4 linked regions of the Drosophila melanogaster genome follow. The protein of the gene in region 4 interacts with the protein of the main gene of each other region in a pairwise test. Each region holds a gene or a part of one and is shown on either strand. Other genes may lie near its edges.

Region 1 (7,587 bases), on a different chromosome or scaffold from region 4:
CCAGTAGCAGCAGCCAGGCCCATGTGGCTCATCAGGAAGCGAGAAATGAAGAGCAGGAAGACGCGCAAAGCAAGTCCGACTGCGAGTGCTCAGACGAAGAGATTATGGCCACGTTCAGTGAGCGTGTTTCGATTTCACTCAAAACCGATACCAGTGGCCGGAGGGTCAATGCTGCGGCAGAGCCCAGTCCTGTTGATCTGGCGAACGTAGATAATGGACCTGCAGGGAACACAGCACCTAGTCCAGGCTGCTCCAAGCCGGGGTCAAGCAGCTCCAAGGCAGATGCCTCCTCGCAGTCAAGTTTTGAGGAGCTGGGCGCCATTGGTGGCATCTCAGACGAGAGCAAGGCCAACACGGACACCAACAGCAGTCACCTGGATCAGTGGCAGGTGCTGGAGGTAAACCGGATCGAAGCTGTAGAAGAGACGCCGACCACGAGTGCCGCCGATGAGATATTAGAGGTGACATTGCGCAGCAGGCCGGCGGTCGAGGGTGATGATAGTGAGATGGGCGAAAGTACTCAGGCACTTAACGTAAATCAGCGCCCGGCCAACCCAAGTCCGGCGTTCTATCCCGCCGTACCGCAGCGCACAAAGAAAGTGACTCGAAGACGATCCGATGGTTACTTGAATCGCCGCTACCATTCCAGCGATGACGAGTCGCCTGTGGCGCCAGGTGGACCTGGCCTAAGCCTGGGACTTTCCACGCTGAGTGAACACCCAGAGCACGGCTTGCATCCGCACTCCCATCGCCAGAGCTGCCAGCGCTGCGGTAAGAATAAGACAAACATTCGTCGACATGTTGAGAAAATGCGACGCCATCTGGAGAACTCGCAAATGTCCGAGGAGGACATCAAACGGGAGCTCCAGGAGTTTCTCACGTACCTGGAGCAGCGAACCAAGTCGGTGGATGCCTCCGATGCGGACAGCCACGCGGTGTCGCCACTCAGCGTGGATGCTATCAGTGTGGCTGCTGGTGGAAGATCACCGGACATGCCCATCACGCCAACAATTGAGTTCTCGCCAACGCAGGACGAAGATATCCGCTGGGACGATGACGAGGGCATCCATGTATACGCCGCTCCATCGGACTTCGAACCGACAGCCGGCATTGACTCACGATTTGTCAATTTGGAAGACTTTGAGGATTTGTAAATGCTCTATTCTCTAGAATGTTCATGATCGATTAATGCCTCTCTATTGATTTATAGAAAAGACTTGGAGGGTTTGACAGTGAAGCAGTTGAAGGAGGTGCTGATGCTGCACCGCGTCGACTACAAAGGATGTTGCGAGAAGCAGGAGCTTCTCGACCGCGTCAGCAGACTGTGGAAAACCATGCGCGAGTGTCCAGGTGAGCTTTGGACTTTGCACTACAATTTCACCCTCATAACGATTCAACCATTTACGCAGCTGTTGAAAAACTCGCCACTGATGAGCTGTGCAAGATCTGCATGGATGCGCCGATTGAGTGCGTTTTTCTAGAGTGCGGACACATGGCCACCTGCACGAGCTGTGGAAAAGTGTTGAACGAGTGCCCAATTTGCCGACAATATATTGTACGAGTTGTAAGATTTTTTAGAGCGTAATGATACGGCTAATCTTACGGTAACTGGACATAGTGTAATGATGGAAGCCGATAGCCGCCACAAGCTACATACAGATACAGATCCAGCCCAGCTGTACAAGTTGTACAGCAGATCCTGATGATGCGACTACAACGTATATGTTTCCTTAAATGACGCGAGTGCAACAATAATATTAATTTGATTATTTGGTTCTTCTCTGTAGTATGTTGCCAGTATATATATATGCCTATATATAGTGTAAAACCTGATATCGCTTTTAAAGTGTATTCATCTATTTCAAATGTGAAATACTTTTGCTATTTATTTTGTTTGTTCTTGTTGTTTGTATAAAAACGAGAGGTTATCTAGATCAACTAACATTCCTATAAACCGCAAAAAAAAACATTAAATCTGTTATTAACAGTTGTGTGAAAAACTCGTCTAGATGCGCATTTAAACAATAAATATTTTCCAATATCTAGCGCTCTATTAGCCCAGCCATTCGAAATGGGGATTTTCCTCCAAACAAAGGTTGTCTGGATCATAAATTCTAATCGAAGTCGATTAAGATTGGTCACTAGTTTTGTGACGAATCGCCTGTAACTGGGGATTTTCCCATACCTTGAGCTTATGGTTTTTCGAAATCTTTGAAATACTCTTTTTGCCCAGAACCACTATGAAGGAACCTAGATCAGATCAATCCCGAAGATACTCCCATGCCACCATGCCAAACTAGAGCAGTTCAATTACAACAGTCTTTAATCACGTTAAATAGTAATCTAGGTGTGGTGACAAGAGCTGGGAAACAGCGCAATGACTAGAAGGGGAAGAGAGACGAGAGGCGAACCGATTGGCCAGTTCAGATTCGATGGATGCGCAGGTCGAGCGGTGACTCCACGTCCATCTTAACGAAGAAGTCCTCGCTGTGGAGATAGCTATGCTGTCTATCGCCTAGCCAATAGCTGGGCGAGAATTCCGCATCCTGTTTGGGTTTTAGCGAGTAATCGCTGGGCTCATTGTTGGAGTCATCGTAGTAGCGGGCGGATGAGGAGGAGCTGGTGGACTCCACACTGCTGGCAGCGGGAAGACACGTGAACGCTGATTCGCTGCTGGCCTCCAGGAGACAGGGTACGCTGGGCAGAGTGAGCGGCTGGCTGGCGATCAGGTGGATGCTGTGCTTGAAGGTCTTGACGTGCTTTCGCAGCGAGGACGGATCCGTGTAGCGCTTCTGGCAGCCGGCCACTTTGCACATGTACGGCTTCTCCATCGAATGGGTGCGCGTGTGCTTGAAACGATCCGAGGAGTTCGAGTACGCCTTCTGGCAGCCCTCGAAGCTGCACTTGTAGGGTTTCTCGCCCGAGTGTGACCTAATGTGGATCTTCAGGTTCTCCGCCCGCGAGAAGGACTTCTCGCACAGGTGACAGCGATGTGGCTTCTCCTTCGTGTGGGTGCGGGTATGGACAAGCATCTTGTAGCGGGCATTGAATCCTCGCTCGCTGCGCTGACATCCCCGCCAGCGGCAATAGTAGAGTCCGTCTGTCAGGCTGGCGATCGCATGTCGCTGGGTCACGTGCTGTGCCAGTGCATCCAAGGTGTCGAAAACTCTGCAAGGATCAAAGGGATATAAGTGGTTAGTACGAAAATAACATGTACTGGATTGATTTCTTATCCAATATTAATACACTTGCTGACCATAAACAATACACTGCATCTCTATCAATTTGACCCAAAATCACATTATTATCGCTATTGGAGGGTTTATCAAAAAGTCGAGTCCAACAGTTCAGCAAATGCCAGGCTGCCTCCGGGGTTTTTTTTTTATTTCTTTCGAATGCGTAATCAGTTTCAATGGTAAAACGCGGGGGAACTGTGTTTTATATTTTTCTAGAACTACTCAATGTCTTTCTCTGGCAACTCAAAATTCAAAAGAAAATATAATGCTGAGTTTTTTTTTCGTTTTTAAAAAACATTACGAAAGTGCTGAGACCCCTTTAGGAAATTTCTTTGAAATTTTCACAATAATTCTGTAATGCAGTTGACACTTACCTATCGCAATCTGTCCAGTTGCATACGAAATCGCTGGCGGTGCCGCACTCGCTGCTGCTGCTGCAGGACTTGCTGTCGTCGGGGAACTCCACTGGACTGCGGCAGAGCTCGTCCTGCTGGCCACGAGCCTTCATGATCACGGACTGGGTGCGCTGACGATATCCGTATCCGGCGATGGGACGCGGCGGTGTGATGGGCGGCGTGGGAAACCTGATGTGCTGCATCTGCTGCTGGTGCTGCTGGTGCTGCTGCTGGTGGTGTTGGTGGTGATCCGCCAACCAGCTGCCGGAATCCGAGTAGGCGGCTATGTACGGTGGTGTGTTATACGGCGTAAAGTAGCCGAGAGGCGGCTCGTAGATGCCTCTGCTGTGTGGGCCGCTGTTGAAGATTGACTTTTGTATTATATCCATGTTTGTTGTCTGTGGTGGGTGCTGATCGAGAAAATTTGTTGCTTTCGCTAAAGCGCCTGCCGATCGAATGAGCCGCTCGCCTGCAGAGGTTCGGGTAATATGCGAAACTTGGACGGCGATAAGGGGTCGCCCAGACGGACAGGGTATGCTTATCAGTTTCGAAGGCTGCAGACGGGTCCGGCGGGGGCGTGGCAGGGGCAGGGGGAGCAGACGGCGGCAGACGGAACCAAAACAGTGGAGCGCCGAGGAGCAGGTGCGTAGCGGTGGAGCGGTGGAAAAAAATCCGCTGGGGCAAATGGATCTGGGGCAAAAGCACACACTACGTGAGTGAAACTCTGTGCTGGATGGACTGCGACGCAGATGGGTGACTGGGGGGCGACCAGGGTACGGTCTGGGCCCGCTTATCAACGCACAAGTGGAGAGCCAGCTAGTCAGCCAGCCAGCCAGTCCACATATGTACACAGGCACATGTGTGTGCCCGATGATCGCTCTTTGGGGGGCAAGTCTTATCGCCCGGTGCCGTCTGCCTGCCTGCCTGCCTGACTTGCACTTCGTACCGCGTAGCGAATTCCCTGCCGCACCCCACCCTGCGTACCGATCCGAGTCCCACTCCCGATCCGAATCGCACCCCTTCATTGGAACAGGTACGTCAACTCTTGGAGCCGTACTAGTGCACTCAGAGAAAAGCGAATGGACTAATACGTCTGAAGACGCATCTAGATCTTTTGCCTGAGAATGGCTAGTTCTAGAATCTACAAAGAGGCCACTATAAGATCGCCTTGCATAATTTCCATAAATAGATTTATTAATAAAACAATTAATTGTTTTCCTGACCTAACTATATATTCGAGCTTGTGACTAAAAAGTAAATAGTTATAGTTTTGAGACAAAGAATCAAAAGTTTAAGCAGACAATTTGAATCGTTATGTGATTCCTATACTCTGAAGGGAAATGGATAAAAACTTTCGTGGAAGCCACTTAATTTCAATTCTGTAATATATTTCTCAATTTCTCAATATGTTTTATTATTACAAAGTTAAAATTAGACTTTAAGCTTAATAGCTGTTTATAAAGTTAAAGCTTAGAAGCTTCCTTGAATTCCGAACTTTATAATGGATATAAAACCCCAACTGATGTGTTGCATAAGGAAATCACGCTAATTTTATTAAATTTGATTTGAGTACACTGAAAACAAAAGTGATATTTTCTAGCTTGAGCTTTGTGAAACCCCACACACATTCTCATTTATAATTTTATCACTTTATCAGAAATACTAAACTTCCCCCACATGTGTTTGATATGCAAGCGTACGATCCCAAAACCCAGAAATTCATTCTTGGGTTCGCCCGCCGGTTTCACCTCAGTGTGTGGGCGCTGCGTCTGGGACGGCGATAAGGTGGTGGTGGTTGGTTATCTCACGCCAAGTCAACAAACGCCGCCACATGCCGCCATGGTACCATATCTTTTGGCCCGAAAACTTGGTGCGCCATGACGCGAATGGTTCGGCGGGACGCGGAGTTGCGCTCTGCTGGGTGGTGGCTATGGCAATCAGCTATCAGCCAGCCATAAAGCTATCGTCGTTATCAGCGCGGCGGAGGCGCTGTCTGGTCCCGTGAATCACTGGGGGAGCAACCTTCGCTCTACCCCGGCGCTGCAGAGCACCAGCGCCAATCGACCAATCCCCACAACGTAATCCGTCCCTGTGCACGGGCCAACGAGTGGGGTCCCTGGCTTACGTAAAGAGACAACCTGACATCAGGGACTTTGATAAGCCCTTGCCCTCTATCAGCAGTGCGACAGGTGGAGGCGAACGTGGTTGTGGTCGTGGAAGCGGACTCATTGCCAATTGCACATCGCAGTACCCATTCCCATTCCCATTCCCATCCCCGTACCCGTACCCATTCCACTCCAGTCCAGTTCCCCCACCAGATGGCGAATCATGATTTATAAATAGATAGGGGGCATAATCGGACCACAACTGCTCCGCCGGACAATCGAGCCGAGGTACAGTCGCGCATGGCGAGGTCAGTTCAGCGGAATCTTCCAAAAGCACGGCCTTGGGTCCGTATCGCCTCCCCAAATCGAAGACAGGCGATGAAGGACCCCAGGCGCAACCTAATTTTTATGTTTTTTGCCGCTTGCCGGCAATTAAAGCCGCGCAGAAAATGAGTAAAAAAAATCCGGATTTTCTGACTGGCTGTGTGAACTTTGTATGGCGCGAGCTCCCGTTGGGGAGCTGAGCGTGTGCGCTTATTAATTTTCCGTGGTCCGAATCTCGGCGTAAATAATAACAAATCGGCACCAAACTAGGCGTATAGACACTCGGCGGCGATCCGGATCGAACCGGAATGGCAGGGTGCAGTCCGTCGGGCGCAATGATGTTCAATATTTCTATCAAATTAACAACACTCGACCGATAACCGGAGGGGTCTGGATGGCTGGCAAAGGTGGTCTGGTGGTCCGATAAGCCCTCGCAGCAGATTCGGATTGGGATCTCCGATTCGATTCTATTCGATCCGAACCGTTTCGTTCCGTTCCGCGCTCCAGCTTGACCGGTGGGCGTGCGCCTGAACCTAGGGGTTTATCAGCCAAGATGCACATTTGCAGCAGCAGCAGCAGCAGCAGAAATAGCAGCAGCAGCCGCCGCGGAGAAGGTTCCACGCGTAGTCCAGCCGGCTTATCGCTGCAGTGGGAACCCACTGGGGGCGCTGATATGACTATGGTAGTCCCGCAGAAGGCTAATTACTTTGTTGCCGCCAACGATAGACTTCCAAAGTCCATGTACCGCCAGCCGGGCCAGCCAGTCATCCAAGCCAGGGACATGCAACCGAGGCATGGAAGCCACAACTACTCGCACTCACATTCCGACCCGATAATTACAGATGGCTGCTCGAATTCGGCCGACTCGGATCTATTATTTATAGGGCGCTTATCGCCAGACAGCTTTTGATATGGCCAAAAAGGAAAAGTTATTAGGCAACTGGGGAAACCAAAAGCAGAAAAAAAAAAACGGGGGAAAAAAACATTCCAGACATTCGTGGGAGCCCACAGACCCCGGAGCGCAGACCTTCCGGCTGAAGCTCTATTTTTATACCCGTTCAATGGGTGCTGCTATTTTTTTTTTGGAGCGATATGCTCTTGTCGCTGTTACCACCACTGATACGCCTGACAATATCTCGTCTAGACTGGGCATTATTATGAGAGGCGAAATTTGTTTTTTTCGTACATTAGTGTTTTTCATTTTGTTGCTGCTCCCTCCCTCCCATTGGGTTGTTTAGCGGAAAAGTTTCAATGGCACCTCCAGGCGGTGTGATCCAACACAACCATAGCACAACGCTGCTGGGGGCTGTTCCATTAAAAATATGACTGGCATTCTTGGCGGGGGTAATTCAGACGTCTTATCAACCGATTTATATTTACGATTGGCGGGCAGGAAGTATAGCCAACTTTCAGTCTGAGAATGCCGATAGATAAAGGGCATTATGAAGGTGTCGCGTTGGTCCTTCAACTATCTATACCTGAGTATCAAACTGTTCAAGTTGCAGACTTTCTGTGACATAGAACCAT
Region 2 (9,265 bases), on a different chromosome or scaffold from region 4:
ACTGCTTTTCGGGCGATGGGTGTGCGCTCTCATTGCTCGTGTCCAAATCGTCAACGGCCCTGGGAAAGCCGTTGATGCGGTCCCTGTTGCGATTCCAGTCATCCCTGCGTTTGTTGCTGCGATGATTGTCGTAGCGTTGCTGCTTCTGCGGCCTCCTACGATCGCTTCTTTCGTACCGGTCCTCCCGATCGTCCCGATAGTCGGAGCGGCGTTGTTGTCGCGTATTTCCGGGTCTAGAGTCCCTGTCCCTGTCCCGGTCTCTGTCCCGGTCTCTGTCCCTGTCTCTGTCCCGGTCTCTTTCCCTGTCCCGGTCCCGGTCACGTTCCCGCTCACGCTCCCGTTCGTAATTATGGTTCGAGCATTGGTTGTTAGCTCCTCGTTCAGCTGGTTCTTGGGCTCGCAGAGTCCTAGGTCTCGTCTCATTTATGGCAGTCTCTAGGCTGGCAGTGCTGTTTCCGTTCGTAGTGGCGGCTGCCGGTGTCTCTTCTAGACTCAGCTTGGCGAAATTGGGCACGAATTCCGGAGCCGAGGCCTGCAGCTTGGAAGCGCTGAAGTCAAACGGATTATTGCCAAAAGGTGTGTAAAAACTCGAAAAATTGCTGTTGCTCGGATTGACCGACCCATAGCTGCTGGTGACGGTGACTCTAGCGATGCCATCGCCATTTTGATAGGTTGGGATCATGGCCTGCGAGTAAAACTGTTTTGTGATTTATTAGTTGATTCATTAGGACTAAACCTAAGTTCTAATATATCGAAACATACATTCGGAGATTGATGACTCACATTTGCAAAGTGGCTGGTACTCGCGGATGCCACTGGTGGGTTCAGTCCAAAGGCTCCTCCACCGCCGCCCAGGGAGAAGTTAGTGTAGCTGCTGCCCACCGGATGTTGCATAGTGCTGGTGGCATTCGAGGGCGCTCCTCCACCCAGATTGTGCTGCATAATGAACTGATTGAAGTTCACGTAATTGTTGTTGCTGTGCCTGTTGCAGGAACCACCCACTGCCGCCGATTCGTGACCTCCGTTGCAGTCTGCCATGGCGGATGACTCATTGCCGGGTCCCGCTTCTCCGGCGCCGTTGGTCAACTGCTGCCAGTACTCAGCCATTGAGAGTCCGGTGCTGTCGTTGGTGACCAGCGTCTGTTGCAGTTGCGCCTGCTTCTTTGCCGGAACAATCTCGAACTGCCCGCCGTCCTCTGCTGGGCATTTCCCAGCGCTACCACGGGATCGTCCGCAATCCGAGGAGGAGGTGACCGAACCCAGGAAAAGCTCCAGACACGTGTGCAATGGTGAAATTGAGCCCAATGCAGAAGTTAACCGAATCGAATTCTCAGTTCGATCGAATTTGGTAAAGGCTTTCTACGGCCAACTGGACGCACCGCAGCCTGGGTCCGCAGGCACGTTTTACTGATTTTTTTGCGCTTTTCCTGCGTTTTTTATGCTCGCTTATATTGTAAATTTCTAACAAAATTTCACAACACGGTCATACCAGACGAAACGGTACCACTGACAATTGCCTTGACTTATCGATATATTAACAGACTTTCGATTTTTGAGGGGAAAAGGGCTGCCAACTCGGTTTTAGGACAGCTGTGAATACAATTTAACAGCAAGATTTCGTTTAGTTACTCAACACACCTACAGTGGTAATAAACTATCAGGTGGCGCCATCTGGCTGAGTGAGAGCGCACTTTTAAATATGTTAAATGTACTGCAACGGTTCGTTCATTTGTTTACTAAAAAAACATACATCTTTTAATTTTTGTCACTAGAAGATTTGAATTAAATAAGGCTGCGTTATCTGATTATAAGCGAAATTACCTAGTTGGACTCCCAATCATATCTCCAATCCAAAATATTATTTCTAGAATCCTGGAATCCTTTTGTATTTGATATTATACTTTATTGACTGGCCAATATATATGCCTATTTTAATAATAATTAATGTCTATTCCTAATTTAATTTCTAGCAAAATTATTGCTTGAAAATAAATGTAAATTGAATAACAACAGTGGAAGTACTGCACTTTGTAATTGCCACAAATTTGGTTGAAACTGGCCGGGCACAACGATTCCACCCATTTAGAATGTCCTGAGATTGCTGAGAAGGGTTTGCTGACTCGGCGGTTGGGATGGACCAGATCCAGGTGTTAGAACTCCAGGAGGTGGCGGCATTTGAAATGTTTGAGCCATGGCCATGGCCAAAGTGGGCGGTGGACCTGTTTGTTGTTTTCCCGGTACTGGAAGTGCGGATGATGTGACCGTGAGTCCATCCAACGGACGGTACTGACACTTCTTAGCGTGGGTTCGCATATTGCTCGACTGGGTGAATGCCTGATTGCAGTTGGGATGTGGGCAGACATACGGCTTGCAGCCTGTATGGTAATTCAGATGCGTCTTTAGGTGATGCTTTTTGGTGAAGGCTTTGGGGCACAGGGGGCAGCTGAAGGGCTTGATTCCCGAGTGGAGGCGATGGTGCAGGGTCATGTTGCTGCGATCGGCAAAGGACTTGCCGCACACGGAGCACTGATACGGTTTCTCACCACTGTGCGTCCTCATGTGCTGTTTGAGCAGCATTTTACGCGAAAATCTCTTTCCGCACTCGTTGCATTTGTGGGGTTTCACGCCGGTATGAATCCGGACATGCATATTGAAGGCCACACGCTGATTGAACGATTTGGGACAGTAAGGACACTCGTACTCCTTCCGGTTCCGGTGAATCTTTAGGTGACTGCTCAAATATCCCTTATCGTTGAATGTCTTGCCACATTCGGGACACTCGGCGGCAAACTCCTTGGTTCCTCGGTGAACGGACAGGTGATATTTGTAATTTCGCAGCTGGGAGAAACCCTTTCCACAATCCGCACACTCGTAACGCGGCGATTTGTGCGTCTTTTCATGAGCCTGAAATAAGAACATAATAGACAAATAAGATAAATAAATAAGATACATTAGCTTAGCAATAGTAATATTGTAGCAATAGTAAGAGATTTAAAATTTTAATAAAAAACCTGAGGTAGTGAAAATCTGTTGTGAAATTCATAAAACAGCGATTTTCTACAAACTGTTCGTTAGTTAGTTAGTTTTTGGAAGGGAGGCTTTCAAGATGAGTATGTTTAGCAACATTTTAATTAGGTCCTAATATTAATACCTTATTCTATAAGTTCTAGTGAGGATTGGAAGATTTCGAATATAAAGTTACTGAAAACTGAGCTTTGGACACATTTATACTTATACAAAATAAGCCAGAAATGCAAAAAATACCATGGTTACACATTCGAATGTTCCCCATTGTTTGTAATAATTTTGTTGCAACTTCAAATGTGGCTTGCTTCAGTTAGCTACTGAAATTGGTGTTCTTTCCCAAAGTGGCCATTTTGTGATTACCTCTCGCTCGGCGTCTGGCCCTTTCTAACGTATCTTGTAGCTGCACCCATGCGTAAAACCAGTTCTCTCTTTTTTGCCCGCTTCTGTTTCTGTTTTCGGCCGACTCCATTTTGAACTCGGATTGCTTGCGAGATTTGCATAAGGCACTCAATTCTTCGCTGCCTCTCTCTTCCCCACTCCACTTGAATCTCCACTCTTTTCTTCGGAGCTCCGCCTTCCAATTAGACTACTGTTTCTCTGTTTTTTAGGCCCCGCCCAAATCCATATGGTATCTCTGTTGGTGAAGAAACCCGTTTTGGGAGGATCTCGTGTGGATGTGGACTTTGAGGACCGGCCAAACGATATCTTATGTGATGTATGGCCATGTGAAAGGTTAATGCTGTTCTTGGCTTAGATGTTTTGAAAGGAGTTAAATTCCTAAAGTTATTTAATGGCTTTGCAATAATAATTCTCAATCATTTAGTACTCCGCATAAACACATATTTCTTTGTGATAAATGTATACGTAACCGTTGATGAGATCTAAATCATTAATTTTTTTGTTACTTATAATTAAAAAAAAAAATACGCGTGCATTTGCCAAATGCTTGTGTGTAAGTACAAACTCTTTAAGTGACTTTACGTATAAGTTTGATTGTGCTATTTAATTTATAAGAAAATTTCATACAATCGTTCATTTCGTTTCGCTTTTTTTATAACTAAACAGCAGCAAACTGAAATAAAATATAATCTGGCAAATCTAAATCATTTCATTCTTAAATTCTAATTGGGAATTGCATATATTTTTTGAATATTTGTATTTCATTTTTTAAAAGTTGAAGGTCTAATGAAATAAAAAAAATTAAAATTCTGTCTACACTATAAATATAAAAATTTGTTTCGTGGGTGTTTTGTGTTTACTCGTTTTTGAGGGATTTTAAGAATAAATTGAATCCTTGGGTTAGAGTTTGGAATATATTTAGGATGAATTATCTTTTCTAAAGCTAATAACTGATAACTAAACGCTTTGGTTGTCATAAATGATATATACTTGTAAACAGAACACCATCGTAATAATAATTTAATAACAATAATAAAATCTCACCTGCAGAGTTTCAGAGCATCCGAATACCTTCTCGCAAATCCGGCACTTGTAGCTGATCTCCTCGGCGGATGTGGCATTGTATCCACCGATACCACCGATTGCTCCACTGTTGCTGCCGACGGCTGTGGTGATCAGTCCACCGGTCATCTTGGGCATCATTCCGACGGCCGTTGCCTGGACCGAGTTCAGACTCAGATTGGTCACGGTGGTCAGTGAGATGTTAGTGCTGGCGGCTCCTCCAGTGGCACTCATAATCAGATCCCTCACAGGACGTATTGATCCGGTGGAACTGCTCACCGAGGAGGCGGCGGGTGAGATGAGAGGTGCGGTCTGCTTATAGCCACCAGTCTGCAATCTTTGGTAATAATCCAGGCACTCCGGGCAATCCGGACGAGTGCATGCGGTGCTTTTGGTGCGTATGAGAGGTTGCTGTTGCTGCTGCAGTGGTGGTGGTGGGGGAACCGATCCATTGATCACATAGGGAGCAAAGAAGCGTTTCTGCTGATTTGGCAAATGCTGCTGATGCTGATGTGTTTGATAGGGCGACGTAGGAGGAGTACTCAAGCCGGCAGCCGCTGCAGCAGCCGCATAGGCGGGCAGTAAGTGCGGGAAGAATTGGGCATAGAACTTGGTGGCATTGGCCATGGCCACCAAATCTGGCGGCAACATGGAGTAGGCACCGGAGGCATAAGGAGTTGATGGTATTGCCAGCCCTCCAAGAGCCTGTGGGCTCCTAATACTGTTGCTACTGCTCTTGGATAGATCCAGGATATTCGTGCTCGTATCCTGAGCGGATTTACGCTCCTTGCCCAGAATCTTACTGATGCTAAAGTCAGTGACTTGAGCCGGTGGCAACTGTGCCCCAGCTCCCAAGTTCTGGACTCCATTGGTGGGTGAAGTACGCGCCGGCGAGGGCGAAAGGTCGTAACTGCGCTGCAGCATGGCGTGCTTGAAACCCATTCTTCTCCACACCGAAGAATCACTCATAGACCGCAGGCGTTACCGTTTCGGATGACTATTTTCTGAGGCGTAGGCGCTTTTTAGCCCGGGGAACTGTCGCGTTACGCGTCGAAACACGAAATGTCTTGGCCTCACAGCCCACAGCAGCCGTCATCGTCTTTTGGCCGGGCCTAAAGCCTGGCTTACGCTCCCGCTCTCGAATTTAATTGGTCGAGAAACAGGTTTGACCGTACAGGTCGGTCTCGCTCCGTATCTCTCTCTCTCATAGACCGGGAGTCTCTTCTCCAATTAACCAGGTTTGACTGCTGGAGACAAACTGTCGCGCCTCCAATTACGAGAGGAGCTGCAATCTGCAGACCCAGAACCATTTGCTAGTAGCGTTCTACTAGTCACATCTATCATAAACCTTATCGCTCCTTTCAGATCGCTCTCCGTGCACTACTCTCTTTCATTTTTTTTATCCACTGGACCTCTCTGATAAAGTGACTAAGATTTCGTTTTGGCCGCGTTGTTTTTGTAATTAATTGCGGTAATAAAATGTGCGCATCGTTAAATTTTCAAAATGTATTTCTCTTGTTCCTCATCCACACACACACATTCTCATCCCCGTCCACATTCACATCCTCGCTGATTCCGAATCCGATTCCCAGGCATGTGTGAATCTTACGGTTATGCGCATGCGCAGCGATCATCTCTTGAGGTGACTTGGTTCGTCACGGCTCTGCAGTCTTAGCCATGTGTGAGTGTGGGAAGGAATTGAAGCTAGGGACTAGATGACATAACCGTCAAACGATCGTCAAAATGGTGTATAGGAAATCAGGTATTTTTCTTGCGAATTTAAAAAGGGTTGTTAACGGTTCATGATTGACCACACTGGCCAAAAAACTTAACGTAAGCCCAAAAGGTCTAAATAATCATATATGGATGATTATGACACCCTCTTGAAATATTTTAGTAATTAAGGACGTGCTGTGCCATTAAAGTAAAGTAAAGAATTTTTAAGAAACAACAATTTGAACCCAAATATTTTTCCATAAATTTATTAAAAAATAGCCTATGCCAATTAAGGGTGCCCTACAAATACCTCTTTCTGAAGCATTTAAGCTTGATCCACTACATTTAGTTGCCATCCAAGAGGGACTGTGACCACTTCCTCGACTTGCATAGCATCAGTAGCGGCCATAAAAATGTGCAAAACAAAATGCTCCTCAAGTGATTTGTGATTGGATGAAACGCGCATAAATAACATGGTATCCAGGCCGAGGATTCGGAGGATCCATACACAGGTGAAGTAAAATGGTGACACACCACGCGAATTCAAGGAAGCTGCAGATACAAATGAAGTGGTATACATTTACAGCTACATGGAATGAGATCCGGTGAAATGGAGTTGATATTCTGACTCACAAGGATTGGAGGATTGAAAGTCTCTGTTTTCTAATTGCCAATTGCCGCATAGAGAGACTCTAATGCGCAAGGCACAATCTTGCACACGATTTGTCCACGATCACTTACAAAACGATCTTATCAGGATTACCTGGCGGAGAAGCCCCTTCAAATCCTCCGCGCTAGCCAACTACCGATCCTCTTGCCAGTGATTAATAATGGTTTGACTGTCAACACGCGCTGCTCGCTTTGGTTGACCACGATCTGCATAAATTTTGATTAAACAGGCTATTCATTATAATTATACATATGAGGACCGGGCGAACACCACAAAACTTGTTCAACCTTAGTTGAAAAACTCTTTTTCGTATTTCGTTTTTTTTTTTCAGTTCGGTTGGCATTTCGTGGAATTCCGCCAGATAATTTACATATGCGAAGCGAAGGAAACTTAAGTTTTAATTACACTCACTAAATCATCGGGCCTCTGCAGCAGACTCCAGGAGACTTTGTTTTGTCGCATGACTAATGTTTATTAGCTGCTAATGGTTTGTTTTACAAAAGCTACGTGGCTGCCCCATGCGAAGTCCCTCCATTGCCAGCTCCATCTCCATCCGTAGCATCCCATCGCAACGCATCCAGGTGACTCGCATGAACGCTCCAAAACTGTTTCACCCGTTGACATTTTGACAAATTTCCAACTCCTTACTACCGTCGTCGTTTTGGGGCCGTCTCCAATGTAAGCTGATACCTATCTCAGATGCCCAGATCCCCATCTCCATCTCCATCTCCTCGATCTTCCCCATGGTTCTTCTTCTTTGTTCACACTATTAATTTTCCGCTCGTTATTGTCGGGATTGTGCGTTGTGGTTCAGTCGACTGGTTCCCCCTCATTGGGGTGGTCGGCATTTATCTTATTTTGTGTGCGTTTAAAACTTCTTTGTGAAACTCTTTAATGTCATGTGTTATCGGTTAATGATCAGCCGCGTTGCCAAGTGATTTTCTGTCAGCGGGTGATCAACTTTGCCTGGGATTTCCCCACCGAACTCCGATCTTCACCGCCGGTTCGGGTTTGTCCTCCTTACGGATTCCGTTTAATTTCCTTAGTTGCGTGGACCTTTGGTTTTATTCGCTGATGGGGCTTTGGATCGTTGGATTGTTTGGACCTTCTCGTCTGCGCCTTGTTATGTGTAGCTTGACAAATGTGTTGATTTGCCAAGTTTATTTCCAGCGATGGTGGGTCCAACATTTTGGCAATAAGATTGAACGACCTTTTTGGACTTTCTGATCTTTCAAGGCGAACTAAAAGCAACAAAAATATAAAGTTCTGAATTTCCAGGTAACACGTTTTGGCCATGAAATGTATTTGAGTTAAATTGAATACAGTAATTACAAAAATGATCATTTTAAATTATTTAGAGCTATGTATAACATAAAGAAAAAATGTTTAAAATAATGATGACAAAATAGTTTTATTCGCTTTACTTTCAAAACTAATCGGAAAACTTGAAAGTGCTTAGAAATGGTTCAAAATTTGCATGCAAATTCTACAGAAACGCCCACCTCCCAATTCCCAAACTTATGTATTTGTCAGGCCTTGGCAATAAAACTAAAACAGGGCTCTAACAACAGCATTTAGGAGGTGTTATACTATTGTCTAGCCGCGATATAATTTATATGGATGGAATAAAAGTTCGCTGAAAACGAGACAGAGACAAAGGAGAGTAGAGCGCGAACAAAGCGATATTCGTAAATTATATATGCACGTCCATATATGTATGTACATATGTATATACGGATCCAAAGTGGCTAAACTATATAGGTATGTATGTTTGTGCATATGAATAAACGAGGCGTATGGCTCGGCAATGTTGTAGATCACAATCATTTCAATTAATTCGAATATAAAATACGAAGTGGAGACGGCGGCTTTTGCAAAATGAACAGCGTGCGCTCGTATATATCAAATTTCAATATAAATGAGCTACAAACATAAATCAAGGGGGGAGGCCCTTCGACCCTCTCGATCCCCTTGCCATATATTGAATCCCCCATGGACCCCCCACATTGAAAAACACACGAAAGTGATGAAACAAACACGCCCGAAATCGTTTGACTTTTAATGCATCCTATAAACAGATAATACAGCCCCCAGAAAAAAAAAAAAACAAACAAACCCAAATTTAATGGACTGACGAATAGCTGTCAACGTCTTTGAAGGGAACTTTCTTTGCTGTTAAAATGTAATTTATTTTATTTTTACAACAATTCAAACGAAAACAAACAAGTAGACGGCGCGAGCGAGAGGGGGATGGCGGCAAAAAGTGAGCGGGAGGGCGATACTAAACATTTAATCGGACGTTAATTATGTTAATGAAAACACATTTCGAATGCAAGAATTAAAATCAAATTTTTCAATTTAAATTCGATCGCATCGCATGGACCATTTTTA
Region 3 (7,853 bases), about 20 Mb from region 4:
ATCTCTTATTGAAAGCCCTGTGTTCTCAGCCGAATACTTTAAAGTTGTGACCATTCACATAAGTTTCTTTTTCGCTGAAAAATAGGCTAGTAAAATATAAGAGACCTTATGCGAAATAATTTCATATTTGTTGCTGTAAAGTAGACTTCAAAAAGTCTTTCACTCCATTCATGAACGTATAGTATTTATATAATAAAATAAAGATGAAAGGAATATAAGATTCGTAGCCATCGGGCTTATCAGCTTGGTGGAGTCATGGCTTTCATCAGTTTTACCCAGCTGATTTAAGCGTTTTCAAATAAAACGAACTATTTATTTTATTTGTTGATCGAAATATGAGAGTAGTCATGGTTTAATTTTTTTTTTTGTCAGTATTAATTAATTAATTTATTAAGGCATACGGGGAAATCTTGGAGCCCCTTTGTGTCCTTCTTTTCTATTAATTCTGCCCATTTGAGCGCGGCGGCTATCTATAGTTAGCTTTTTCTAGTTTACAATAATAATACAGTACATAACAAACACATATAACAAATAGGTTTTTTGATAAGCGTCAGCTTCTGCTGACCCTTGTCAAAGGAGATCGGGAAATGAGATCCCTTGGTTGCCTTCTATTGAGCCTCCTTGGTGGGCGAGATCTGTTAAGGGTGGTAGTGTGGTGCTTCGCACAAACCACTCGCAGCCGGTGATGAGTCTTGCTACCTTATTTTGAATAGCCTGGATCCTTTTTATTTGGCTGTCGCATGCCAAGCCCCAGATGTGGTACCCAGACTTCCAGAATCGTCAGCTTGTTGGATAGCGACAATTTACTGCGCGAACAAAGTAGCCAGTAGTGCTTCGCCAACTTAGCACGTAGGCGTGTTCTGATGTCAGTCACATGCTTGGGAAATGTGAGTCTGCGATCCAGAAGCACTCCAAGGTACTTTGCTGCGTTCGGCTGTGGTACGGGGGCTTCCAATAAAATCCTGTCTTTTAGTGGATTTGGCAAATAAAATTTTAAAAAGTTGGTTTTTGTACGTTGCCGAAGAAATTGGTTGGAAATGGAATCTGTTGAAGCATTTCATTAAAAATAGATTTTAGAAAAGATATAAACATAAAAAAACATAATTGTGTAAGGACATGTTTCTAATTCTATGCTTCAAGGATTCTGTTATTATTACTTAAAGAAAAAAAAAAGAGGACAAATGATTCATTATGGTACTTCCCACTTTGAATAAATATGCATTTCGTAGAACTCAGTTCAGGGGAATAGTTTCATTTCCCAAATGGTTTCTCACAAGGCGCCATGCACTTTCCCTTTTTCTGAGCAACAGCCCATTTGTGACACGATTGTGTTCGGGAATGACCGTGTTTTCAATGACTTGGGAGTGTCTGTTTTCACTGCCTCCACAATCACCGGGAATGACTTTGCGTGTTCCTACGAGTGCGTCTGGACAATAGCTATTGATTTAAAGCGTGACACCTTCAATGGAGAACTACTTAGGAATTTCACTTAGCAAAACAATTCAAAAAGAAGAGTGAGAAGAGTCCACGATTGGGCCCGAAATGAAGTTGTAAACTGCGGTAGAAGCAGAACCAAGCAGTTGTGTGCTGAGCAAGCAAATCAAACAACGAAACGCCAACCAACCGGCCCCAATGATCATAGAAAAGTGCTTTTAAGCCATTCGGCGACACATTAATTGCTGACGTATTTGTGCACGAAGAAAGCCAATAGGCAGTCAATGTGCACAGCATCCATGAGCCAGCCCCCAAAGTGGGTCATATTCATAAGTAAAGCACCTATCGGCCCATCAGCCATCAGCGGCTGTAAAGTGCCGTTCTGCCAACCGGCAACTGCAGTTCAGTTCAGTTCATTTCAGTTCAGTTACTTAGGCTCAATTGAGCCGGGCCCATTTCGACGGCGTTTACAACTTTCTTTGGGCCAAAAGGTGCTAAGCGTCGCCTAACAATGGGGCTCCGTCAGGTGGAGAAATATTAAAATACAATACGATGGTGCCCCGCCTTGAATGAACCGAAATGCGCGTAGCTAAATGTTTGTTTTATTTTTCAGCAAATTGCCTTTGTTCATATGTGCCTTTGTTCACAGTGAAAATGGAGTTTACCAGAAGCAGAAGAGTGGAAGTGAAATAAGTGGGTGAAATTTAGAAACCCCATAAAGAGTTCGATTTTTGGAGGCTGATAGCAGGAAGAATGAGGCGGGTAAAAGTGAAATGAAAGTTGCGCCATCCACGTGCAAATGCTTTGCTAGACAACGCGGCGTATGAGTGATGCTGTCGAGGGCTGTGATGGCGAGTTGCGTATGCAAACCGAAATGAAAATTGTGTGGTGATGAGAAAAGAGAGTCGTGTTGGTAAAGTATTTTTTATGTTTGAATTATTATTTGATTCTTTGATTTAGCAGCATTCGGTTGGTCTTTCCCGGGCGGTAAAGTGAGAAAGTCCAGATAGTCAGACAGATATGGATAGACAGATAGGTAGATAGATTAAGGTAGAGGTACAGATAGAGATAGTCGTAGAACAGAGATAGATGGAAACAGATGAGAGATAGATACAGTTAGATGGGCGAGGCGACTGGCTTTGACTGATGGATCGACTAGTCGCAAAGATTTGCAGTCCATTTATCAAAGGTGCAGCCATGAAATTGAGATACAGCGTGAAGAGTGAGGAGTGCGGAAAGTAGTAAAGATTCCTTTGTGGAGGTTATTGGCGGTTCTGGATGAAAGGTGGTGTTTGGTGTTTGGGTGTGTCTTGTTATTAAGTGATTGTTTTTTTGTCTAATGGAAGGCACTTTGTTCGTCTCGTACTTCTCGTTCAAGTAATAAATTAAAATAAATAATTTATAAATAAATATAAATATAGGTCATCATTTTTAGCGATTGTTTCTCTCTCTCTCCTTGGCCTTCGTCCTTCGGTTAATTTGGCTCTTGACCAATTGTTTACCGGCGGGCCTGCTTGTATCCCTGGTAGGCGATGGTCTGGGCCACAGGCGAGCTGTAGGCACCATGGGTGTCCCAACCCGAGCTGCCGCCAGAGGACCATCCGGCGCTGGAGGCACCACCACCCGAGGACCATCCACCGGTGCTGGCAGCCGACGATCCACCGGCGTTCTTGCCGCCGAAGAGACCTCCCAGACCGCCGAGCAGACCGCCGCCGCCTCCGGATCCACCGATGCGTCCCAGTCCGCTGGAAGCACCAGCAGCCAGAGCCAGGAAGAAGGCGATAACAGACACAACCAGTGCCTTCTTGGCCAGGAACAGTAGTCCGAAGATGGAGCCGACTCCAAGGACGGCGATCTTAGCACCAACTCCCAGCAGGATGGGCAGGAACTTCTTCAGCAGCTTCTTCTTGCGGGTACGGGACTCAACAACCAGCTCGCGGAGATCAGCCTTGATGTCATCGGGAATGGCGCGGGCCACGCTGCGAGCGGCGTTAGCGAAGTTGAAGTTCAGGGAGCGTTCAGCGAAGAAGCTCTTGGCGTTGTCCATGAAGTAGTTGCCCATCTCGGCGGTGCGGGCCTCCACGGTGGGAGCGGCCTCAACAGCCAGGGAGTTGTCCAGGGACTTGCCCTGACGACCTTCATTGGACTTCACCAGAGAAACACCACCGAAAAGCTCGATCTGAGGGTTATCGAACACGGACTTGGCCTTGCGGAAGAGCTGTGGAGGAGGTAGTGGGGTTTCGAATTAGAGCGAACTGTAATAAACTGTGATCTAAAGTCTAAAATATTGGTCATTGAGGATATGTTTGATTGATTGTTATAATTATATGACTTCATGTGTATGTAAATAAGTGGCTAAGGAAGAATTTAGTTGTGAGTGAAATTTAAAATAATTTCTTAGTTTGCAAGTAAGGGAAAATTTGTTGTTATCAACTGTTTTTAGATTTTAGAATTTTAGAATAGAATTTCGATGATATATTTTTAGCTCGGAAATATAAAAGAGATGTGCTTAGAGCAGCTGGCAAGTCTAAAAAACACTTTTAAGTGGTAATGTTGTTTTCACATCTTCCTGTCAGGTGTCAATTGTGTTTGGCAAACTACACACTCTTTTCAAAATTGATTATTGCGAAATAGTTGCAGCTTGACAGGAAGCTGTAAAGAAACTGTTTTTCACTTTCACTTCAATAGTATCCTTTAGATCACATGGGACAACACGTAATCGGTGATCTATTGATTTTTTGGTTTCACTTTCACTGTTAAGCATCTTTGCAATTGTTCTCGATTGTGCTTTGATCTTTCGTTTTGTAATAGGGGTATATAATCCTTAGGGCCTAGATAATCCGTACCGTGAGCTGCAGGCACGAGATGGAGTCGGACTCGAGGCACTGGGCAAAGGCGCCGGGCTGCTCCTCAGCGGCCTTGACGGGATCGGCAGAGATACCTGCTGCCAGGAGCAGGATGCAGGCGGTGGCAACGAAGAACTTCATGCTGGTGGCTGGGTTGGTGGATTGGTGATTTCTGAGACTGAATTCCTTTGGCACCACCGAAATCACTGGTGTGTTCATTCGAATGGAACAAGCTGCGGTTTGATAACTTTTCGCCGCTGTCAGGCTGTTTTTAAAGAGTTTCCAACGTAGCGGTCGCCTCGGCAGCGGCATAACGTAAAATTATGTAAAAAGCGCCGGTGCCCACACATACAGCTAGGGTCTCCGTCGCCGAAGAGCCTGAGCCCTCTTCCACACGTGTCTGCGTGCTCTTTCTGGCATTTTGACTCTGCGAAGACGGCAGCTGCCCTCTCTTTCTGACCGCAGCGCTGCCTCTCTTTCTCAGCAGCCTCCGAGCTTAGAAGCCGCATTAGGCAAGCGCAGGCAGAGCTTTGTCTGCTTCCGCATTAAAGAAAGTCGCTGCGCATGAGCATGCGAAGACGAGTCTTCTTCGTCTTCGGTCGACGTCAGCGCAGGCAGCAGGGCTGTTGAATGTGAGAGCACGAGAAAGTTTCCATCGGAGAGCCAAAGCCAAGGTTGTTCGTCTTCTCTCCCCCACACACTCATACACATGCGCGCATCACACACACACACAGCGAAGAGACCCCTGAAGACGCATCTTCCCGCAGAGTCTTCTGCCCATCTCCTCGAACAAACGCACGCAGACAAAGAGGTGTAGTTTCTTCTGGAGCCTCACAGATTACAACACATGAAGTGATAAACAGGTGCTGCGCAGGTTAACCCTCCACACACCCCGACTCTTAACCCGTGGATGCCGGGCCAGCCCCCCCCCCCTCCGCCATAATATGTGTCATATATTCTTCTGGATTTTGTTAATTTTTTGAACGCTTTTGTTTTTTGGGCACTTTGCCGCAAGAAATGAAAGTTGTCTGTATAATATTTTCATACTACTGTTATTTCTGGCCCTTGGTCTGTATGTCATCTCCGTTTAATACCCCCCGTCGACCCGGTATCACCGAAAATAGTTATGTTTACCGCATGTGCGCGTCTTGAAATTACTTTTTATTTTCGTGACTTTATTGTGGTTCTGTTTTTATTGCGCAACATAAAGTGTGATATATAATGACAGTTATTTAACCAGGACAGGGTCTGGAAACAGGATATCTGGGAGCCGGGATCTAGGGCCAGATAGGCACGTCCTACTCGGGACTTTTCCTTCGGGCAGTTCGAGTACTCAGGTGAAAACACCTCTGCGGGCATAATCATAAGGAACGGCCTGACTCGGCAATTGTGACACATTAGTCAACAATTTGAGCTTAGCAAAAGTGCAAATAACAGCTCGCTTCAATTGCTCAAGTGAAATGAAAGAGAAATTACACGAAAAGCAAACAAAAACGGATGCGCACAAGACGCCAGATACCCACAGATGATGGACTACTGCACTTGGCGAAATCATCACATAGTTGCTGTATTTTAGCGAAATTTACTTGATTTGTTTTATCAAGCTGTCAAAAATAAGTAAATTGATGGAATTACAGTAAGTTCTGATAAGCTTTTAATAGCATATTAAATTGGCATTATACAGTAAAGATGACACAAACTTATTCTGCGTCCGCGACGCTAGAATCTGCAATCAATGATCCAATGATCCTTTACTATACATAATTAAAACTCAAATTCCATATAGAAATCGATTGAATTCGGCGAAATAAAATCATGACGATTTTCCTCAGTGTGCTTGGATGGATGGTAGCTTTCTTGGAAAGATCCGAGCTCCCGTTTCAAGGTGAATGTATGTGACTGACGACATCCGACACTATCATACGGATCTGGTGCGGTGCGACTTACGAAACCCCTGAATCATCCGCATAATGGACGCCAAATTGTCGATGGGCGATGGGGCGTATGTGTAATTTGCTACCACAATTAAATCGGCTTTCAGTTGGCCGTGTGACGTCAATCGAAATAAGCGTGCAGTGGTAAAAGTGTGAGGCATTTTGTAACGCAACATCAACGTCGAAATGGGTGCAGCCTCCCCAGAGGAGAAAATCAAAACAAGTGATGCGATCTTTAGGCTGGAATTCCGCTTTGCGTTTCCTTCGACCGCCATAAATCGGCACACATTCGGATGCAAATGGGTTCGGAGCTGCAAAGCCATGCAAATTCGAATGCCGTTGCACATCCGTCTTAACGGTCGAACTTATGTCGGTTCACGCGCCGAGCGTGAACGCCTCCATTTGTCTGGCGACTGGCATGTGCCAACTTCCAACTCCCAAACTACCATATACCAACTACCAAATGACCAACAGCCAATGGCCAAGAGCATGGCGAACAGGCTTGGCCATTCATGCGACAAGCAGCCGTCCAAGTGTCCAGTGTGTGAGCTTTTATGAATGAATTTCGCTCGTAGTTGGAACTGGCATGTTGTTGCTGCTGCTCGATATTGCTGTTGTGTTTGAGGTGTTGCTGTTATTGTTTATGACTGTCCCCGAGCTGGGTAAACAAATCGCAAGTGTCTTGAGCCGCTCTGAAAAAAAAAACAACGCACAACTTGTACATTATGTTACATCAGAAACTGACTGAAACAGTGGAGGTCAATATTTTGTCCATGAAAGAACCCAGCTTTCGATTTTTCGCCACTTTTTTTTTTTAAATTTCGGCTATCCGAATAGCAGGCAATTCATAAATCCTTCGTCCAAATCGCCGGGGTATTTACCTCCCTAAAGAGCACAAAGGGGTAATTTCTGTAAGTTATCTTCCGGTTGCTATATTTATGTTTATCTATGTAGTTGAACAAGACACAAAGGAAAGCTGCTTTTTGGCTTGATTAAAAAAACTTGAGCAACCTTTGGAGGAACTTCTTAAGAATCGAAGTACAAAATTCATAGCTCATTTAGATTAAATTTTAAAAAGGAACTTAAAATTGGATAATATTTATAACAACGTTTCTAACTAAGACCATCCATCTCTGGCCAATTCTGAACTTGCGTTTTCACTCGTTTAAATTATGCACTTGCCTACAAAAAGTTAATGTCTTAAGAAAGTTGGTCACAAGCCTCCGAAAAGATGGTCAAGTCAAACACCACCGCGAAGAAAATCTCAATAATTACACTACTTATTAGGCCAATGGCTGAGTGGGCTTCAATCAGCAGATCGAAGAGCGGAGCGTTCGTTCGAATCGGTGATTATTTTGGGCCCGCGGAGATATCATCGTATTCTCACTTTCATTTTGCTTGACATCAATTTGGGCCCAAGACTCATTAGTGGATCGGGCCAAGACGACGATGATGACCGTTGTGTCCCACACAGAGGCCATTTTACTGTATTATTTATCAGCGAAGGCCCTTTTTCTAGCCGTTCGAATTAAATTAAAGCCAAATGGCTTAGCCGTGAAAGTTTTTTTTTCTTTTATTGTATTTCTGGCCAATTAGCATAAGCGACGAAAGCGTCGAGGGCGTGCATTTCGGAATTCTG
Region 4 (6,405 bases):
GCGTTTCTAGCGTTTCCGTTCTAGACCGCAGACAATTGGAAACTGTCTGGACATGGGAGTGTCTGAGCAATTTGCATGTGAGTCACTAGATAGTGGCAGAAAAAGTCGTGATCTTTCAATTTTAGCTATATAATTTATTATTTATTTAGTTATCACATGAACTGCGCGTCCTCATCTAAAGCTTTGTGTGTTTATGGTGTTTACTTATAACTAGGTGGGAGTCGACTGGTGGAAATCCAGTGACTCGGAAGACTTTTACTTTCTATGATCTCTCCTTCGTTTTTTTTTTTTTCAGTTGTGGTGTGAAGTAATCCTATCTACCAGGGACGCCAGACGTTCTCCTCGTCCTCGCTGTCGTCCTCCATCTTGGTCACATCGATGGTGGTCAACAGGGAATGGCTGGTCGAACTGGTATTGGAGTTGGGACTGCCGGCGTAGCTGGAGATTGGCGAAATGGGCACGGAGTAGGCATCCCGATTGGCGATGTGCACGGAGAGTGGAGCGGTCACCGGCAAGACTTCCTTTTCTGCTGGCTGGATCTGATTGAGGCGCTGTCCCAGGTGGGTCATTAGCTGAGTGCCTAGGCTGACATTCATGCCGGGCAGCTGGGAGAGTGAACGGGAGACCTCATTGACGGCATGGATGTAGCCGGAACGGAAGCCCTCCGCCGGAGTCAAGCTCTCATCGCCGGAAGCCCGCTTGTGCTGACGCTGCTGCTTCATCTTTTGCAAATGGGTGACGGTAAGTTCCAGGATATCGGCTTTCTCCAAACGGGTGACGTGCTCGCCCTCGGACTCCAAGGTGGCAACCATAAGATCCTTTAGCTCGTCCAGGCACTTGTTGATTCTGGCACGACGCTTCCTCTCCAGCATGGGCTTCATCACCTTGCGGTACTGATAGGTCTTGGACATCTCGGACATTTGTAGCGACGACATTTTGTGTGTTTCTTATTGTTCTTTTTGTAGTTTCGATGTAAGCTGAGTTCTTTGAGCTCTTGCTGCTCCGACAGTCGAAGTCGTTGTGTGTTGCTAGACCTTCGGTGATCGGCCTTATATAGCTGGCCAGAAACAACCCCCAAAAAATGGGCCAAAGGGATCGTCGTCGTCGTCGTGTGTGCTGGCATTCGAGGAGCAAAAGGGACGGGGACACGCTTCGTGTGCTGGCATGAGGGTTGCTCGGTACCGACCCTTCCGCTTCTTGAGACCGCTCCTTATTGTTCGGGCGATTTCTTATTGTTGGCCCCGGCACCCTTATCAAACGGGCCAGGGAGCAGGATCGCTGCCAGGATCGTGGGAAACACTTTCCTACTCGGTTTCTCACATCGACTCGCTCACCTGCCCGCAAAAAGCAGCCGAGCATGGCCACGGCCATGGGCATGGGAATTTGCAGAGCGAACAGCTGCCGTTTCTAGATTTGTGTGTTATGATTTGACTATGGCATGGCAGGGTGAGGGGCATAAGGATAATGAACTGCTTGCATTATGCCATCTCATCGGGGTCCTCCGGGGTTCCCACGATAGCGGGGACCTCCGCCGGGGGATGGGGATAAGGATAAGGACGAGGCGTTGCGATTCCTCGACAACTTCCTGTTTACCGTTGGCATTCCAAATTGGATCGGGTTCGTGTTTGGTGGCAGAGGAAGGGACAAGGACAGAGGCATCCTGCACTTGTTGGTCGGCTGTTATGATCCTGTGGGAACATTGCTCGTGTGCGTCGAGTGCGCTTAATGCGTGTACGACTTCCCGATCCCCCCGACCCGGCAGGACCTCTGCCTCTCCCTCCATCCGCCATGTAAAAGGGGCCAGCGATGCTGATCCTGGAGCGCTGCTCGCGTGTGGCTCGCTGTGGACACACTTTCGGCTGTAAGTTGCTCGCGTTCCAGGACCTTTGTAATGGATGGATGGTTGGATGGGTGGTGCATTACAGGGATTTGTAAACGGAGTGGGGAGAGTTCAATTGACTTGAATTCAAGTGGACAGTATAACGGTATTTGGTATTTAGAATTATAAATTATTAAAATTCCAAGGAAAATATATATTTTCTATATATTTCAAATTAGATTTTAGAAATATATTTAAATATATCTGATATATCTTTTATATCGAAGAAAGCTAAATAAGAGCTTATAAATTATAATTATAATATAATAATTATATATATTATAACATTTTGTACCTATGTACCTATGGATTATAGCAACCTTGTTTATGTTCATATTCCAAATAATATAAAGCTTTTAAAATTTCAGTTTACGTTCATTTTATTATTCAAATGTTCATGGCTTATACTTAATGGTGTAAAGCGAAAAATATAATTTTAAAACATACACAAAAATTTGTTCTTAATGAGGCTAAGTGGAAGCTCGGTGGGGAAGCTCTTGCAAAGTTGATGAAATAAATTACAATGAATTAAATACATGAATCAGTAAGCCTATGGGAGATCAAATACAAAATACGAACTTAAGAACTATCACAGGAACATCACATCATATCAAATCAACTACCAACTAAATACGATTCTGAGGCAAATGTTTACACTAGACCTTGGAAAACTTGGATTGTTTCTTAATGAAACTGAGTAGTAAAGCTATCAATGTTAATTGGTTGCGTATATATGGAATGCCCTTCACCAGGGGCGCCAGACTTCTTCGCCATGATGAATATCCTCTTCTCGCGGAGACTTTGAACGTTTTTGGTCGGCTAGATTAACTGGTTCTTCGGCCATATCGATGATTTCTTCTTCCTGTTTCATGTCCTTGAGCTGGTGACCCAATTGCTTCATCAGGTGGGTGCCGAATTTGAGATCCAAGCCGGGAACCGTAGAGAATATGTGCGAGACCTCGTAGGCAGCCTGGGTGTATCCGGCCCGAAATTTGTCCAGGTTAACTTGGTCGGGTGGTGGGGATTGAGGATTGGCCACTCGCTGCTGCTGTTGCGCTTTCAGATAGTTGACGGTGAGCTCTAAGATGTCAGCTTTCTCCAGCTTGCTGACCTGTTCGCCCTGCGCATCCATGGTGTCCACGATGAGATCCTTGAGTTCGTCCAGATACAGGTTCATCCGGGCGCGTCTTTTGCGCTCCAGGAGGGGTTTGGTCACCTTGCGGTAATGCTGAGTCTTGGTCATAAATCTCTGACCCTGAACGGCCATTGTGTATAATGGGTTTTGATTTGGTGTGGTGATTGTTTGTAAATAAAGTTGCGATGTTGCGATGTCGCTGCTGCCGCTCCGCACTGCACGGTAGTCACTTGAGAAATGATCTTGCCGCAAGGTAAGCTGATCCTTTTTGTAGCTGCTGGTGCCGTACACTTGCGAAATCGAAATCCTCCCCTAACTGCCACCACGCACTGCGATCACAACGCTCCTACACGCCGACGATCACAACGAAGCATCAATCGGGTCACTCTCTGCTTGTGGCAAGATTCCCTCGGCGTTGCACGTGTGCAACATCAAAAAAATTGGATCGGGCGGAAGCCGCTGAGGCTCTCTTCTTGCACTGAAAACAATCCATATGTGGCAGAGAACAATTTTTAAAATCTATACTTTATATAAACTACTTTTAAAATATACAAGTTTCGAAGCATACTCTTTGGATGTCCATTCTGGAAACCAAAGTTTCTCATGCATCTAAAGTATCTTACAACGATAAGTATAAACAAAGAAAAAATAGTTTTATTGTACTTTAGAAACTTTTATATATTTAGAAATTAATTTATTTTTAATCAAAGCTTCTTTAACCTTGGTCATAATAGTAGAATGCCTTAAAGTTATTTTCAGTGTATTGACTAGGGTCCAATAACACGTTCTTCGGATCTTCGCCCGAGCTAGTAGCGCGCTCTCTTCGGGCGTCTCTCTTCCTCGTGCTGTTGCCGTGCGCCGGCGCAACAGTCTGAAGAAGGGTCTCCGAGGAAGAGCAGGAGGAAAGAGTCGGAGCAATCAACCACCACCACCAGCAGCGCACCACACGCACACACGACATCAGCAGCGACATGACCTCGACCTGCCTGGCAGCCATCCGTGCTCCCTGGTTCCCACTTCCCTCGAGAAAAGAGAGCCGAGCCCCATGCGTGCCGTCCTCACTTAAGCCAAAGAGCCAATCTTGTCGAGGCAATGCCATTGTTGCATATGGGTGTGGGTTTCTGCTTGTATGCGTGCAGGTGCACTGGAAAAAATGTTGTTTTGTAAACTGAAATATAATATTCAGAAATATGCAAAATGTGCATAAATAATATATTAAATTCTGTAACTAAACTATAATTTGCATTACTTTGCTTTAAAAGCAATGCAATCCCGAAGTCTTTATAAGCCATCTTTATAAGTTGCTAGTTTAGAGTTCGAATTTTCTTGCAGTGTGGCCTCTTCCCTTTTGGCGCACAGTCACACAGACCTCATTTCCTCTTTGGCGCGACATTGCGTTACACTTACGGGCACGGAGCACCATCATCAGCAGCAGAAGCAGCAGCAGCAACCACCGCAACAACCACCACCACCAACGGGACGGCAGCATAGCACCACCCAGGCAAGCGGCAAACAGCCGGTGCTGCGATGGGTCGGTCGGTGCATGTGCATCGTGAGAAAGTGTACTGGAGACATTCCCACAAGTATTGGGATTGTGCCGCACTTCTGCTGCCGGTTGCCCGGTTCCTCGGCCTCGGTCAGCTGTGACACTTGTTTGGCGCATTTTGCGAGATTGGGTATTCGGGGATAGGGCCATTGACGAAATCCACCTGCCCGAGGGTGAGTTCCAGTTCAAATCCAAGACCAGGGGTCGCTGCAATCGCAGCCATGAAATCGAGAAGTTAACAAACAGTGCAGCAAGGCACCGGCGACATTTGCTGACATCTGATGGCACTGATTTCGTACATTTCGTTTCCAGTTTTCTTCGTGGGGGAGGTTTCTGAGATCATCAGAGTGGCAATGTTTTGATATGGGTATTGGGACGACTTAAGGAAGACAGCCATATGCAAAAACAGGGATTTCAATTGCGCCAATTTCCATGAGGGAAAGATTTTAAGAGAGAGATTTCAATCTGTTGACAATGATGAATCATCCTACTTTTGAAAGTAGAAGAGGAGGATCAAGGATCATAAAACAAAAATTAAGAATCGTTCCGAATTTTAATCTTTCCCAATAAAAGAATCGTTCCGATACTCAATAAACATTTTAATTGAAAGTATATTCATTTGTTCGATATTGTTGTACATTGATAAATTTGGGACATTAACATTTCATAAATATCTTCAAGTGGCTGTAATTTACAAAGATACATATTCGTTTAATACACATATAGCAACACACACATATACATTTAGATTAATAATAATGTATAGAATCCAGTTCCATTTTTGCGCATCTAGTTTAAAAAAATGTTCTTGTTTAATGCGGATAACGCCAAATACAGTTTAAAATCCATGTGCTAGAAAGTAAGTGTAACGGACTAATTTGCTTCGTTTATTGTTTAATAAGAGGTACAAATGTGTAACGTTCGTAAGTTTTTATTTTGGTTCGATTCATTTCGCTTATCATTTCTATTTCGATTAAAATCTTTGTTGTGCTTAAAACTAAATTATATTTAAAGCGGACTGGGTCGTTTTAAGCTTATTATCGATTAGTTTTTGGTGTTTCGGAAATTTCTTGGAAAATGTGCTGATGAAATAAATTAGTAAGGACTAATGAGAGAGGTGAACTTGGTTTAAAAGTAAAATTATATAGAATAAAAAAAAAAAATAAATGCCATCAGATACATTTGCTGCGGGGAGATTCATCTATAATACAAAGTAATGCAAACGACATGTGCAACATGCCGTCTTCTTAAAGCTTTAAGTTATTCTTGTTCTTGTATTCGTTTCGTTTGATTTTGCCTTTAATCGCTTTCATGGTTAACTCCGTTTCGCCTGGTCGCGGTCATCCTTTGAGGAACTGGTGGACTTGGTGTGCCTAGTTGCAGTTGTGGGTTGCAAGCATTAAAATGTACAATCGGTAATCGTTTAAAAATATTTCCATTCGATATCTTCTTCTACGGTGCTTATAGTATCCTCGATCCACTCCCTTCTACACATACAAATATATACATTCTGTTTACATACATCAATACACGCGTTCATTTCCTTCTTTCGCATTCAGTGGTCATCGCTTCTGGACATTCTATACATACATACATACATATATATATAAATATTCTATGATTTTGTACGACATTCTGTGGGGGTTTTCACGTTCTCTAAAAGCACTTTTTAAGCAGATTTAGGAAACGCATTACTTTTGCGATAAGTGTGGTACGTCTAGTGCGCGGGTTTGTAGTTGTTATTCATGCAGCTGAAAGTAAGACAAAACTTGCATAAACATATCGAGGGAAGAACAAATTGGGGCGAAAGGATATTTGGGGCAAAGAAGCAGTGAAGATTATTCA

What was found.
Region 1: the proteins of E(spl)mdelta-HLH (region 4) and sug interact in a two-hybrid assay, tested with the Drosophila melanogaster proteins (one large-scale study listed by BioGRID).
Region 2: the proteins of E(spl)mdelta-HLH (region 4) and CG15269 interact in a two-hybrid assay, tested with the Drosophila melanogaster proteins (one large-scale study listed by BioGRID).
Region 3: the proteins of E(spl)mdelta-HLH (region 4) and Osi6 interact in a two-hybrid assay, tested with the Drosophila melanogaster proteins (one large-scale study listed by BioGRID).

Annotation. Positions count from the first base shown.
Region 1 is NT_033778.4:12,925,365-12,932,951, reverse strand, and holds sug (sugarbabe), read right to left. Parts: upstream 4,093-7,587; 5' UTR 4,021-4,092; coding exon 3,611-4,020; intron 3,169-3,610; coding exon 2,424-3,168; 3' UTR 2,308-2,423; downstream 1-2,307. Other genes in the region: CG17019 (uncharacterized protein), read left to right, coding at 1-1,150, 1,211-1,350, 1,410-1,585. UniProt on the Drosophila melanogaster protein: Transcription factor which represses a set of lipase genes involved in fat catabolism.
Region 2 is NT_033779.5:15,105,732-15,114,996, reverse strand, and holds CG15269 (uncharacterized protein), read right to left. Parts: upstream 5,593-9,265; 5' UTR 5,413-5,592; coding exon 4,471-5,412; intron 2,905-4,470; coding exon 2,083-2,904; 3' UTR 1,905-2,082; downstream 1-1,904. Other genes in the region: stc (shuttle craft), read right to left, coding at 1-697, 763-1,107.
Region 3 is NT_033777.3:6,231,382-6,239,234, reverse strand, and holds Osi6 (osiris 6), read right to left. Parts: upstream 4,528-7,853; 5' UTR 4,500-4,527; coding exon 4,281-4,499; intron 3,653-4,280; coding exon 2,933-3,652; 3' UTR 2,054-2,932; downstream 1-2,053.
Region 4 is NT_033777.3:25,994,473-26,000,877, reverse strand, and holds E(spl)mdelta-HLH (enhancer of split mdelta, helix-loop-helix), read right to left. Parts: upstream 3,258-6,405; 5' UTR 3,147-3,257; coding exon 2,625-3,146; 3' UTR 2,245-2,624; downstream 1-2,244. Other genes in the region: E(spl)mgamma-HLH (enhancer of split mgamma, helix-loop-helix), read right to left, coding at 318-935; CG43116 (uncharacterized protein), read left to right, coding at 3,986-4,125, 4,347-4,704. UniProt on the Drosophila melanogaster protein: Transcriptional repressor of genes that require a bHLH protein for their transcription. May serve as a transcriptional regulator of the Achaete-scute complex (AS-C) genes. Contributes to the neural-epidermal lineage decision during early neurogenesis.